Schizosaccharomyces pombe: one gene and its partner. The protein of the gene in region 2 interacts with the protein of the main gene of each other region in a biochemical or structural test. Each region holds a gene or a part of one and is shown on either strand. Other genes may lie near its edges.

Region 1 (6,977 bases), 1.1 Mb from region 2:
CTTCATTAACAGGGATTGTTTGACTTTGAGAGGGGGTTATAATTTCACCTTTGAAGCCAAATCGAATTTCATGAGCATGCAAACTCTCGACAGAAGGATGATAACTATTCTCGGCAGGACTGGGATCATGCAGCCATTGCATTTGCTTTTCATCAACAGGTAAATTCGGAAAATATTTATCATGAAGTTGTTCATAAAAACTTGGGTCATTAGGATCCAGCGTTACTTGCTTCTCTGGAAGATGCGTAGTATCAAATTCCAATGGCGCACCATCATTACTTGTTGTACCGTCACTGAGGGCTGGAGAATGTTTTTTGGGGCTATGTTTCGCATCTTCTGACGCATCGTCCTCTTCGTTACCTTTAATTGGAGCTAAAGTTGGAAGGGAAAATATTTTTGTCAGTTCCTCGGCTTTATCTGGAAACATAACTCGCTTTGTTTGACGAGATCGAATCTCAGCTTGGCTCAGCGCCATCGGGGGAGAGGGAGAACCGGAGGAGCTATCGACTGCCTCACTAGACAAAACGCTTTGAAGATTGCGATTCAATTTTTCAGAACTCCTTAATTTTTCATTCGATAAAAAGCTATCATCACTGGGACGCTGACTTAGGTCGGGTGTGTTAACTTGGGAGGACCGATCTTTCCTTTGTGCCAATTCACGTTCCGCCTTCTTTTTAAACGCTCTCTTTTTCAACATCTCCAGCAAGTCATCACGAATAGTGGCCCTAATTTCCTCTTGAGCTCCTTCAATTTCCAGATCATTCATCCTTTCCAAACGAACGCGATTTTCCTCATCAATACCTTGATCATCCAAATTCCCTTTTCCTTCCAAACCCGGAGATTCCTTATTCTTTCGAAGCATCTTCTCCTTATAAGCACTCATTGATTTCGATTCTCGTTTCGGCAATGTTCGTGAAACGGCTGGAAATCCCCTAGCATGCCGCTGAACTGACCTCTTCACTTCAACAAGTTGCTTCGGCGGTTTTTCAACAATATCACCTATCACATTTGAGAATACACTCCTGTGATTCTCCATAGCGATTGAATTTTGAAAATATCTGCTTTTTGTATGTAGATGTTTCCTTTTTATAAGAATTTAAGGGTCAATTTCTTCAAACCTCACGAATAAAGCCCTCTGAGATAGTATTATGAGATTCTGATTAAATGAATAATAAATACTTCAACCTTATGAGTTTTTTCTCCCTTTCACTATTTACATACCATTTGGTAGATTGCAGGGATGGTTACGTTTTCTCTCATTTTCTTAGCTATTTTGCGCTCACAAAATAACGGTACATCTCACTATATATGATAACGTAACTGTAAAAATTGATTTATTGTATGGAAAAAAAACTAAATGTTTACATGATATGAAAAATGGATGGTTTTTTCCTTTTTTAATTCAATACTTTTCATTTAATATTAAAAGTGCATAATAAATAATTAATTCGTGAAAAAGTTTTCTAGTTATAAAAGAGAAATTATGAGAAAGATAGTATCCGAGTTTAATAGGACTTGGGCTATCCTTGAAGATTAAAGAAAGAAAGAAGTTATTAGAAGAAACGACATTCATCCAAAAAGAAAAAATAGAGAACAGAAAAATGAGTGGCGAGTAGAAGATTAGACAAGAAAAGAATGATAAACACTAAAAATATTTCGTCTCAGAGAAAATATCTTAATTCAAACATAAAAACGAAAAACGTCGCTTTAACCCTTTTTCATATGACACACCTAAAACCAAACGCAGATGAGATGCGACTAATTATTAGCTCAATGTAAACTTCTTGTCCGTTGCCTATCAGGCGAAGAGTTAGAAGATACAGATCGTCTTGAATTGAGCAGAGCCCCATAAATACATCAATTATTCCAATATACATAAATCTTGAATCAATGTTCAATTATAGCAATTAAGTTTGGAATCCGTGCTTTGAAAATAAAAATTGGATTAAACTTGAATCTAAGATTCATGTCGGAGACCAACGATTGTCGAATTTTGTAGATGGTAACCAAAAAAGAAAAGGCCATTGTTGAATTGTTGCAACATGAAAAAACAAAAAATAAAAAATATGAATTCCGATGATGAACAACAATGAAAAAAATAAGACACGCAAAATTAAAGAATTGGGGAGTGAAACTTTGGAAAAAGCATTAGAGAGTATGGTGGAGGGAGATAAAAAATCTTTGGAAGACTTCTTTTTTAAGTTTTCGAACTTCTTTAACAGATTTTTTTGACTTTCAAGTTCTGATGCCAGTAAAGAGAGACCAGCGGCAAATTGGGAATCGTTCAAAGTCTCCGTTTTAGGGATGTAAGGGATGTGAAAGAAAGGGCTGGGAAAAGTAATTTTTAGATTTTGATACGGAGGGTGATTTTGGAAGGGTTGAGGCGCCTTTTCCTTAAAAAATAGTCTCAACTGCTCGTTTTCCAACTGAAGATGTGCAACCTTTTCTTCTAAAATCATGTTTGACTCCATAAAAGCGCCTCTTTCTTTTTGTTCCGACAAAGATTCTTTCTTCATGTAATCTGTTTCCTATTAAACAAATTAGTAAACTGGCTTGTCTCTACCTCGAATAAGGCATATTCTTAAAAATCATACCGTTTTCCTTTCCTTTTCTACAGCATGGATTAGCTCTTCCATTCTCACAATATGGGCTTGCTGTTGCTCATACTCTTCATGAATGGTTTGTAATTGAGCTGCATACTCCTTAGAATCACGAAGAGCTTCACGAAATTTTTTCTCCCAGGTTTTCGCTTGGGTATAACAAGACTTGCAAGCTTCTTCCGAAGAATCCAATTCCTCCAATAATTTTGCATTTCGCGCGTTTAGTTCTTTAACTTGCTCGTCTTTAGAACGTAATTCTGCCGCTTGAAGCTCTATCCTTTCATAAAGCTGTTGAATTAAAGAATCATCAGCATTTTCCTTGTTTATATGAGAAAATCCTTTATTTGATCCATATTCATTTTTAGTTCGAAACATTGACAAAGGGGTTGAATGACTCAAAGGTGATCCTTTTCTTGGTGTTATGTAACTTGCGTCTTGATAAAACATATCTTTTCTCTTTATTCGATTTTCTGATATTTTTTGAGGCTTCGCTACACTTTTTCTTGGTAATACCCCATTCTCGCGCAAAGCTAATTTGTTTACAGGAAGGGTATCAGGGTCAAGACCAGTTAACTCATAAAACAAATTCTTAATTTCACTCGTAGACACTACAATCTCACTGTTATCTTTTATAAAATCTTGGGCCGATTGTCTTTGCTCATTATCAAGCAAAGGGGCCTCTGGATTAAGTCGCAATGCGTCAACATCGTCGACAATTTCTAAAAATGCTTGAATGGAAACCTGTCGAAAATTAGAAACTATTTTTCAAGTAATGAGAAATTACTTTTCCTGTATAATCTGGGTCGTATTGGCGCACAATATCGTCAAAAGGGATGTATTCATCCATTTTGATTGTTTATTGACATGTGCTTTGGTTAAACAGAATTAGTATAAAGGCAGGTTTGTTAACGATAACTTGTGCGATTTTCTTATTTTTGTAATGTAATGCAGAACAATACGTTATAGAAGTTGCCTTAAAAAAGTAAACAAAGTGCAAGTCAAAACATAAACAGGATATTTTAGCAAAATGTTGCAGTACGAAATGTATAAAATTGTTAGCAAAATCATCTTCAAAATAAATTATTTTTTACTGATTGAGTTAAAGTGGAAGGAAAGCTTTACACTTACCTTTTTTTAAAAAACAAACAAATAAATAAACAGATAAACAAATGTGATCCGTTTCTTGAATCTAGATTTACTTAATTGAAGTAAATAGACTACTTAACTTAGAAAATTTACTACAATCATAAACAAGTGAAATTCTGCTCTCCTTTATTTTACAACGATGCACAAAAAGTTAGTCAGCGTTCCGACTAATTGGCGGTAGTAGAAATAGTAATTATACAAATTCTTTAAAATTTTCTAAAAAGTATATTAGTATCAAATTTTTCTTTTGACTATTTCACTGATTATGTTAGGCTATGGATTAATAGCTATTGAACTCGGTTTTCTTTGCATGGAATAAGCAAACTCACATTAAAAGTTGGTAAGTCGTTTTTAAAAGAGATGAAAAAGCTTAACTGTGACGATTATATCTCCTACTTCTCTATTCAATTACTGACAGCTTACACATAACAATGATAATATGGAGGATCGTGTTGCTTCAATGGTGCAACGATATTTTATTTAGGAATTTCAGTAATCTAAAACATACTTAAAAATAAATAAATCTAAACTATAAGCTTATCGAATTCCCAATACTCGTTCACTAGTACACGGAGTCTTTGTCTACCTCTCCTTAACCAAACTGTTGAAAGCTGAGAAACCTGTGAAACTATTTCTAAAAATCATTCAAACTAGGACTTTTATTGAACTTATGCGGTGATTGAAGATCCCTATGCAAATTGTAGGCTATTTGTCTGCAGATTCGCAGAGTAATCCTGATTTAAAATCCGAAAATGAAGCAAAAGAAGAAAAGCCTATTGGGAGGAGACACACAATGTCACCAGTCCCTGCCACATCTGAAAATAAATATTTTGGCAAATCTCCTTTGTCAGGGTCTCGTAAACCTCGAAGAAGCCGATCACTTCATAAGGAACGTAGCTACATGAGGAAATTCTTTGATATGGATATGGAGGAAAGCAAAGACTTTGAAAATGATCAATCTTTACTAGTAACGCTTAAAGTATCGACTTCCTTGGGTCAAAAAATTGAGAATATATTACACCCAAAACTCAGCAATGATACCAACTCAACTGCCTTTCCGCCTGCTAAGTCGTCGGGAGAAGCATCAGATACTAATATTTTAGTTGAGAATATTAATTCACAGGAAACAGTTAATTCTTCCCCCCTTGTTTCCGAGTTACATTATTCAAACTTAGCAGATTCACCTAGTAATCTGCGAAATACTGTCACATCCATGCACCCGTTTTTCATGTCAAAGTCTGTGAAAAAGAATTCTGAAATCAAATTTGTAAGTGAAGAAAGAGGCGGTACTAAGCCAGAGAGGTTACTTGATCCATTATGGCCGACACCCGATTCCCAGAGTATGTTAGAGTATGCCGGCTCTATTGAGCCGAGTGTTTTCTGGTTTCCGAAAAAGCATTTAGAAGAAGCCATTTTAGAAGAGACCTCTCATCTTTCGTTTAAGGAGGTTCTTTCCTCCACCACCGCGAATATGATAACCCCATTAGCTGAGAAAAATAAAACAGAAGTATTACAGGTTACTCCTTCTAAACTTCATACTTTTGCTTTGGAATCGTTGTGCTTTTCACCGGCTCCTTTTATTCAAAAGGTTTTGTCAAGACTTTTGCCATCAGATCCTAATGTTGAAATGCCAATGATCCCACAAATATTAGAAAAAGGACTGTGGGTGTCAAAATATGCTCCATCTAAAACACAAGATTGCTGTGCGTTCTCTCAATGCCTTTCGAAGATAGCGGATTGGCTAAGGTCATGTAGGTTGACCAAACCTGAAAGCTCATCTGTACCTCCTTCATCTTCTATATCTCGATCCTCGACTATTCATTCTTGTACATCTTCTAAAAGAAATGAAGATTCTCTTTCGGAAAGTGACTTTGAACCGGATATCATTGAAGAAGAAGATGATTCCGACGAGTTCAATCCTTCTGTGTCGCGTAAAAAAGCAAAGCTTACATCTTCTCAATTTTCTAACTGGATGCTTGTTACTGGTGTTACGGGAATAGGAAAGACTTCATGCTTATATGCCATATGTCGTGAGCTTAATTTTGAAGTTGTTGAAATACACCCGGGAATGAGACGCTCGGGAAAAGAGCTGCTTGAACGGATTGGTGAGCTAACACAAAGTCATATCGTTGATAAATCTAGGCTTAATAATACTCCTGACATTCTTATCCTACTTGAAGAAGTTGATATTTTATTTCAGGACGATCGTGGCTTTTGGCAAGCAGTCTCTACTTTAATTGAAAAATCTAAACGTCCTGTTGTCATGACTTGTAATGGTAGGGAGAATGTTTTAGTTTTTCCACTACTAACATAATTTTAGAAACTGATTTTTTACCTTCTGCCTTTCTTCAGGAAGACCACATTGTGCAATTTCAGTCCATCTCTTCTGCCTTGCTAACCGACTATATTTCTAGTGTATTGTATGCTGATCGTTGCATCATATCAAGAAATGTTGTTGAATCAATAAGCTACAGATATGGTTCTGATTTGCGAGGTATACTAATGCAATTAAACTTTTGGTCCCTTGTAAATTTCCCTTCTTTGCCTTCTAAAGATAAGCAAGATGATTCTCATGAACCATTTATTGAGGCAACTATTTCTGCCTTTGATGAAGGCGTTGGAGTTTACAACCCACGAATTCAAACTAGTGAAGATTTACTGCAAACGTATTCTGAGGAACAAATGGGAGATATTGGGTTACTGTTCATGCCGAATTTAGTAAATTGGAGAAAAGTTTGCGTCCCAAAGTCTGAAATGGAAGAGAAGGAAGCAATTATGGAAAAATTAATTTACAGCCATCAATACGCGGACTCTCTCTCTTATGTAGATTACCGCTTTAGCTCTCAACCCACTATTTATGAGACTTATGAGTTAATGAATGATTCCGCGTCATTTGAAGATATGAGTTTGGAATGTCGGGATAATTGCGCTAACGCGTTTCAAGATAATCTTGTGGGATTTCCAACGATTTCGAATCCCTTTCATGCCAACGCTCCTCCCGAACCCCATGAATTAAAGCTTCAATACCATTCATTTTGCTTTATTAATAACTTATTTTCAAAAAGCTCTTTGAAAGCTATTTCCAGTAACGATAGCATTGTTCCAAAAGCTCTCAATAACCGTGAATTACAGCTATCTGCATTAGCGTCAACTATAGGTTACAAGTACGGTTACAAAAAAAATAGAAAATCTTACTTACTGTTTAATTTAGACTTGATCCGGATGATGTTT
Region 2 (6,977 bases):
CAATTGTGTTTTGCTTAGGTAGAAAAAAACAAAATTATGTACATTGGAGGTGGCAGACATATATGTACGCTTGTATTTGATAGTGCATTACGAACGAATTGTGCAAGTTTACTAAGAGAATTTTAGGGTTTATAAATATATAATCTAATAAGTTATTAATTCATTAAAAATTCATATCATCAAGCTTATCCGTTTTTTTTTTTTAAATATACCCAACAGGATATTTAGAGGATTCGTATTTGAATATACGGACCTTTAGGTGGCTTTCTCTTCTTCGTTTTCAGCCATGCTTAAAGATTTCCTAATAATGTTAGCTGGATTTGAAAGATGAAGAGTAGTCAATGAACTGAGGCTTTGTCGAGTCTTCGGTTTAGAAAAATCAAAGTTGTGAATAGCTTCATTGTTGAGGATGAATGTTGGTGAGTCCATATTGGCTCTGGAAAAATTCAAATCAGGAACTTTTGGGACTGGACTACCATCCAGATCAATAGTGTCCAGATGAGGTAAAGAAACATCGTCAGTTGACGAGTCCTCGGCCAGCAGTTGATCAAGCTGTGTGGATTCACTATTAACTTCTTGCTTTTTCTCCAAAGGACTTTTTATCAAAAGTCCAGGTTCTGGTTTATCTTCCAACATCGGGGAGACAGGCGAAGTAAGATTAATTTCAACATCTATCTGATTCTTATTTTCAGGCCGTTTATGTGCAGGAGTTGAAGGCATATGCATAGTATTAAAGAAGTTCATGTTCTTTAACTTAGAGGTTTGAATGGGTGAGTTATACGCGGAGGCACCTGAGTCAGACGTAGACATTGAATCGTCGAAACGAACCCTCTTTTTTGGAGAACGTTTTGAAAATACAACTGGTTTTTTTGGAGACTTCACGAAAAACATTCGAGGCAAGTTATTATTAAGCAAGGGTTGAGTGGGAAAACTATGAACTCTATCACGATTGATAGTTCGTGAATCATCGGATGTTGAGTTGAGCTTATAACTTTCTGATAAGACAGATATATTAGGTTTCTCGCCAAGACCAATGCCCAACAACCACTTTTCCAGTATCGAGAATAGCTCTTGCATACCTCCCTCTTTTAGCAATGAACTAGCTTTGAAAGAACTTCTAAGAAGGGATTCTAAAACAGGAGTGAACTCATCAACTTTATTCTGAGCATCTAGAACCTGATTCTCAATAATTGATTTTAGCAAGTCAACTTCATCCTGTAACACATCAGCGTACATGGTAGCACCTTCTTGTTTGTATGTGTTGATAATGTGAGAAACACTTCTCTGAAACTTTTGGTATACAAGTTCAGGATCTATATCAGCAATGATCTCTGCACGACGAGTTAACAATGATTCTAACTTTGAACGAACTAAAAATACTCGTTCATCTGCGGAATTCGGAAGTATTCGCTCATAGCAGGATAACCAGTACTTAAGTACGCGAATTGAATCATCAAAATGTTTCACCTTTTCTACCTTATTAATAGTATCATTTTGCAGTGGTAAAGTCTCCTCAAATGTCATACGCAATAAATTTCTGGCTTCTGCAAGCTTCGATTCATGAGCAAAAGATTGAGTTACAGCGTCCTGATCAGAACCATTTGATTGCGATGACAAATCGATCTGTGCGAGACGATTCTCCAACTCTGAAATTTGCTCACGTAACTCAACGATTGCTTTTACATATTGGCTTACATGTCGATCTACACTGATCATGTTCCTTAACACTTCGGTTTTGATATTCTTTGCTCGATTAGCATATTTTAGAGTATTGTGAGTTTCTTCGTAATGAACAGAAGACGGAGATACGCAAACAATCATAACTGTCCGACAATTTCCGCCTAAACTAAACTTAAGTAAGCGAGTAAGTTTAGAATCACGATAGGGGACATGCGCACGGCGATGGGGATCACAAAGGGCATTGATACAATTTCCTAGGGCTAAAAGAGATTTATTAATATTAGCACCTTCAAAAAGACGACTACCTCTTAATTTGGTAGCTGTTGCACGTTCTGAGCCAGCCAAGTCAATAATTGATAAAGTGGCCAAAGTGTGGTCCTCATTGATGCCAGCTGTACGAGGTTTTTGGATCAACGTAACCTGCAATACAGCATGCGAACGAGATGAAGCAGCGTTAGCTTCTGTCGGAGACATAGTACGATTAGCATTTCCCTTCATGATAATATCAATGATTTCTTCCAAAGATTCTGGAGACAAAGAAGTAAGACCTGGTACAGTAATGCGACGGTCTGCATCTTCCCGTAAATTTAATGGCTTTGCTTGATTTGGGGTCGGTGATACTAATAAATCACGAATAGTTTCATTATAAATTTCCAAATAGGAAAGGCGAAGGTCAAAAATTTTTTCATCTCTTAAATGATCCATTCTCTCAAAAAGTTCTTTTAGTGTCAAATATATTAAACCAGGATCTTGCATTGTTCCACTAATGGTGTGAGTTTTACCACATCCAGTTGCTCCATATGCAAAGATAGTAGCATTGAATCCATCCAAAATATTGTCTAATAACGGCCTGGCAGTTCTCTCATACACCTGTTGCTGAGTAGCAGTTTCATCAAAAACCCTATCAAAAGCATAACGAAGATCACGGCCAAATCCCGCAGAATTGTTTGACTTTCTAGATAATCTAGCGAGACTCTGTTGAGAAGTAGAAAGTCTGCGGTTTGTGGCACTCAAAGTAGCCGTTGTTTCATCCGGGGGATCAAATACCAAGACACGTCCATCAAGTACCTTTACTACTCGTCGAATTTGACGTCCTGAACCAGGGTTCCTTAAGGAAGAAGATGTTCCAAATGATAAACGATCTGAGGATGCAATTAAATTTGCAGATTCAGCTGTACTAAATGGGCGAACACGGACTATTTTATGTTAGCAAAAAGATATGAATTTAAAAAACATCACATTAAAGACTAACCTGTAACGGTAATGGACGACTGTCTTGACATTGAAAAGCAAAATTTCCATGCAAGCAATCATCCAAAACAGATGAAAAGAAGGGCACTCGCAAACAACAATTCCAATAACCTTCTTGAATAAAAGCAATTTATATCGAAGATCACTATTAAAATAGATGTAACAGTAGAAAAGAGCGAGAAACGCGTTTTTTGAGTGCGCTTCAATGTTGACTGTTTGGCATTTGCCAAGTTACATTTCTTAGTCAAGTAACGCACTTTGTTTTGAATGGTTGTTATGGCAATAAAAGATGTAAACAATTACATTATTTACATATTTTGACAATAAACACAAATACAGGTAGTTACGATTAAAATCGAGTTGAAATACTGTTTTACCTTTTCATTTTCACTAGTTGTGTATAATGCTATCTCAGTATCATAGATGCTTTTACAGTATTTTTATTATTATAAAAGGCAACTAAATTCGATGATTGAACTGAATCGCTATCGTTTGGTTTGTAACTTATAATGTACACATGCCTGGCAAGATTCTTGCTTTGCTTTACTTTTATCACACTTTAATAAATCGTCCGACAAATTTAAATCATTTTCACCTATAATTGCAATAGAACATCAAATAAGTGTATATATTCTTCTAGCACTTCTATAAACACCACAACTGCTGCACTAGCTACTTTATTGCCAATTAACTGATGGCCTAAATATCTGATTAGTTTGAAAGCAGAGGACTAGTGAGCGCTATAAACAAAATTATATTCTATATTTTATATTGGGTATTCCTATATTCGTTAGGTACTAAATACTGAGTTTTACTTCACCTTTTAGTCGATATCGTTGAGACTTTTACCAATAGCAACTATAATGAATTAGGGGTTTTTCGTGCTATAACATTACCGCTCAATTTCTTTCAAACCACCAAGCGTCAAATTAGAACTACCTACTAAGCATTCGAATATGCAATAAAATTTCACCTTTGCCATAACCATAAATTTTACTATTGTTGGATAAGTCTTATTATTGCTAAGTAATTGATTACCTTAAGTTCATTTATCAAATAACAAAGCTCTACGTTTCAAATTTCAAAAAAAAAAACTTAACCTACTCATTGAGTTGTTTCAAATAAAAAAAAAGCAATTGGATTCTCTTCTGTTGGAAAGCACCCTTCATACAGCAATATTGGTATTTAAGGCATTGAATTTAAATATATTACTATGGCATTTCGTGATTCAACTCGCGATTTCAACAGAAGTAGACCTGAAAAAAGGCATGCTTCGAGATCTTCTTCACCTCGTTCATTTCGACCTTCAAATCAAAATGCAAGAGCAAATTATAATTTAGTAAGTAGGAAAATGTTAGTTGTTTTTGAATTAACCTTCCCTTTAGCCGAGAGTGAGAGATGCTATGAAAGAGGAAGAGCGAAGTAGGGAAACGAAAGAAATGCAAGAACGGGAATTTTTGCGTTTACAGCAGCTTCGAAGAGCTATTATTCGACTTAAGAATGATCGTTCTAAGCCTATAGATAAACTTCTTGTCAGCGTTTACTTGATGCCAGGCCCAGAATGGGAAGAGAATGGAGAAAAAAATTCAATTGATTTTGGAACAGTTGACATGTTTGATCCACTCTCTGTTATTCAAGTAAGGGACTTATTTTATTTTTACTTTATAACAGATTAATCATTAACATACTTAGAGTTATAAAGCAGAAGATTTGGAGGAGATATCTAGAAATATTGGTGATATTCAGCAGCTGGAAACGAACCAATGTAGACTAACTTATTGGAAGGTATGGATTATTTTTTATGCTTTAAGTGCTAAATTATACATTATAGTACGTTAAAATGCTAGTGAATTCTCGAATGGAACATAACAAAGTTGGGCAATTTTCAAGAGGGTTAAAGGTCGTAGCAGGTGAAGTACAAAGGATTTTAGCCCCTAAATCTTTTGAACAATTAGAACAGCTTGAGGCACAAATTCAAAAAAAATTGAAGAGCAATGTCCCTCTCGATACAGATTATTGGGTTGATTTACTAAACTCTTTAAAATCTTACAAGGCCATTGCTTATTTAAAAAAGACTTTTAATGAAGAATTACAAATTCGAAAAAATAAACTTGATAATGAAGAATGGGACAAAGCTTTTTCCGATGCCAAAAAACTGTCAAATATGAAGGATCGTGAAGAGAAGTTATATATTGTCCCTATAGACCCGAAGCCCATTTTGAGGGCTCAAGCGATACCACGCAGGATACAACCTGAAGAACAAGCCGATTATGAAAAAGAATTGGTAAGATATTTGTGTTTTTCATAATATTAACTCTCTTCCAAATTACGATTTCCATCTTTTGTCCTAACCAAAATCTTTTCTAGAATGATCATGTCAATATTGTAAAGTCTAGCACTTATATTCCAATATCGATACCTACCCAAAAACAAAAGCCAACTTTGCCGAAAAACAGTAATCTGATTAACGAGGATGAATTTTCAATTGCCAACAGGGCACGACTCGAAAGAGAATACTTACAATCCGATGATGCAGAGGAGCAAGAGATGCTTGGGGACTATGTAGAAGGGCAAACCCGTGTTGTTAACGAAAACGGGGTTACTTTGAAAAAGCCTCACTACTTTAATAGAGTTTTGCTTGGGTTTGAATGGAATTCTTATAATCAAGCACATTTCAATGAAGCCCACCCACCTCCCAAAGCAGTTCAAGGGTACCGTTTTAACGTTTTTTATCCAGATTTAATAGGTACAGGCCGTGCACCAACGTATCGAATAGAACGAACACGAAGGAAGAATAAAAGCGACACTACTGATTTACAAGACGATGTTTGCATTATACGTTTTATAGCTGGGGAACCATATCAGGATATTGCCTTCAGTATAGTAGATAAAGATTGGGATTACAGTGCAAAACGAGATCATGGGTTTAAAAGCAGTTTTGACAATGGTGTTTTATCCCTCCATTTTCGATTCAAAAAGCTTCATCATAGAAGGTAAAATAACTGATTTATCATGTTGTACATTTAATGAAATTTAAATTACTGTTACATGTGCAGCTAAACAACCTTAAAAGGCATCTACTAAACTACTTAAGTATTGCATAAATAAGTTTAATCGTAAAGAAACACGAAATCGATTAGTTCGTGATTGAAAAGCTAAACTAATTCAAGAAGAAGGGGGTGATAAATAGAAGGAAAAGGCATCATAGAAATTTGAAGTTCCCTGACATAAAAATATGCTTCGGATGTCCTCAAAAAGCATCTTTCTTCCCCTAATTTTGAAAGGTTAGAAAAAAATAGTATAAATCGAGTAATAACATACGAAAATGACTCTTCCAGAGGCATAAAGGGAATACAAACCAAGACCAGCCATAACAGCGTAGTAAGGATAAACAAGAGCAAAACTACCTGGTCTCTAAATATTAAACAATTAGGTTCTTTTTTCTCTTCATAATTAAAAACAAGTTTCGTTTAAAACTTACCTGCAAGTAAGTTGGTTTGTGGATGCTTTGGAGAAAGCGTTGTTGTTGAACAATAGTATTCTTCATTTTTTTCTTTTTTAATTAATAATTGTTTTAATAATTATAAAACGAACCAATAATCAAGTTAACAAGTTAAACTGTTAAAAAAATGAGGGTTAACGATAAAATGTAGGTAGGTGCGGAAAGGATTGATGGTTCCAATTAGTACATCTTGGTGCCAGAACACAGAGTCAACCTCATAAACTCACATATTTAAGTATATTAATAAGACGGTTAAGTGAAAGATATTCGTATTATTAAAAAAATGCTCCTTTATCGTTTTTGGTATGTATCATTTTAAATTAATCTTACTGAACGAGATTAACGCTAATAATATAAATTAATTGTTGTCAAATAATTTAAGGACGGAATCATTGTCAGATTGATTCTTCTTCAAAAACTAAAGCTATCTCCTTATAAGCTATTGGGGAATCTCTTTCAAACATGGTATAAATGCGTCCATGGCATACTCGGAGCAATAATAGTATAGCGATCAAAGTTAATAATGAAGATGCATTTGCTTGTA

What was found.
Region 1: the proteins of klp5 (region 2) and kms2 form a complex in vitro, tested with the Schizosaccharomyces pombe proteins (one study listed by BioGRID).

Annotation. Positions count from the first base shown.
Region 1 is NC_003423.3:645,543-652,519, forward strand, and holds kms2 (protein Kms2), read right to left. Parts: upstream 3,478-6,977; 5' UTR 3,448-3,477; coding exon 3,385-3,447; exon of another isoform or gene 3,342-3,384; coding exon 2,595-3,341; exon of another isoform or gene 2,529-2,594; coding exon 1,965-2,528; 3' UTR 1,394-1,964; downstream 1-1,393. Other genes in the region: rba50 (RNA polymerase II-associated protein), read right to left, coding at 1-1,036; DNA replication factor C complex subunit Elg1, read left to right, coding at 4,438-6,022, 6,067-6,910, 6,958-6,977.
Region 2 is NC_003423.3:1,708,959-1,715,935, forward strand, and holds klp5 (kinesin-8 family plus-end directed microtubule motor Klp5), read right to left. Parts: upstream 3,160-6,977; 5' UTR 2,964-3,159; coding exon 2,933-2,963; exon of another isoform or gene 2,877-2,932; coding exon 256-2,876; 3' UTR 123-255; downstream 1-122. Other genes in the region: cay1 (cactin), read left to right, coding at 4,145-4,270, 4,317-4,568, 4,624-4,716, 4,763-5,215, 5,299-5,928; cytochrome c oxidase subunit VII Cox7, read right to left, coding at 6,182-6,202, 6,253-6,345, 6,413-6,478. UniProt on the Schizosaccharomyces pombe protein: Has a role in establishing metaphase during mitosis. Required for chromosome segregation where it generates tension during kinetochore capturing.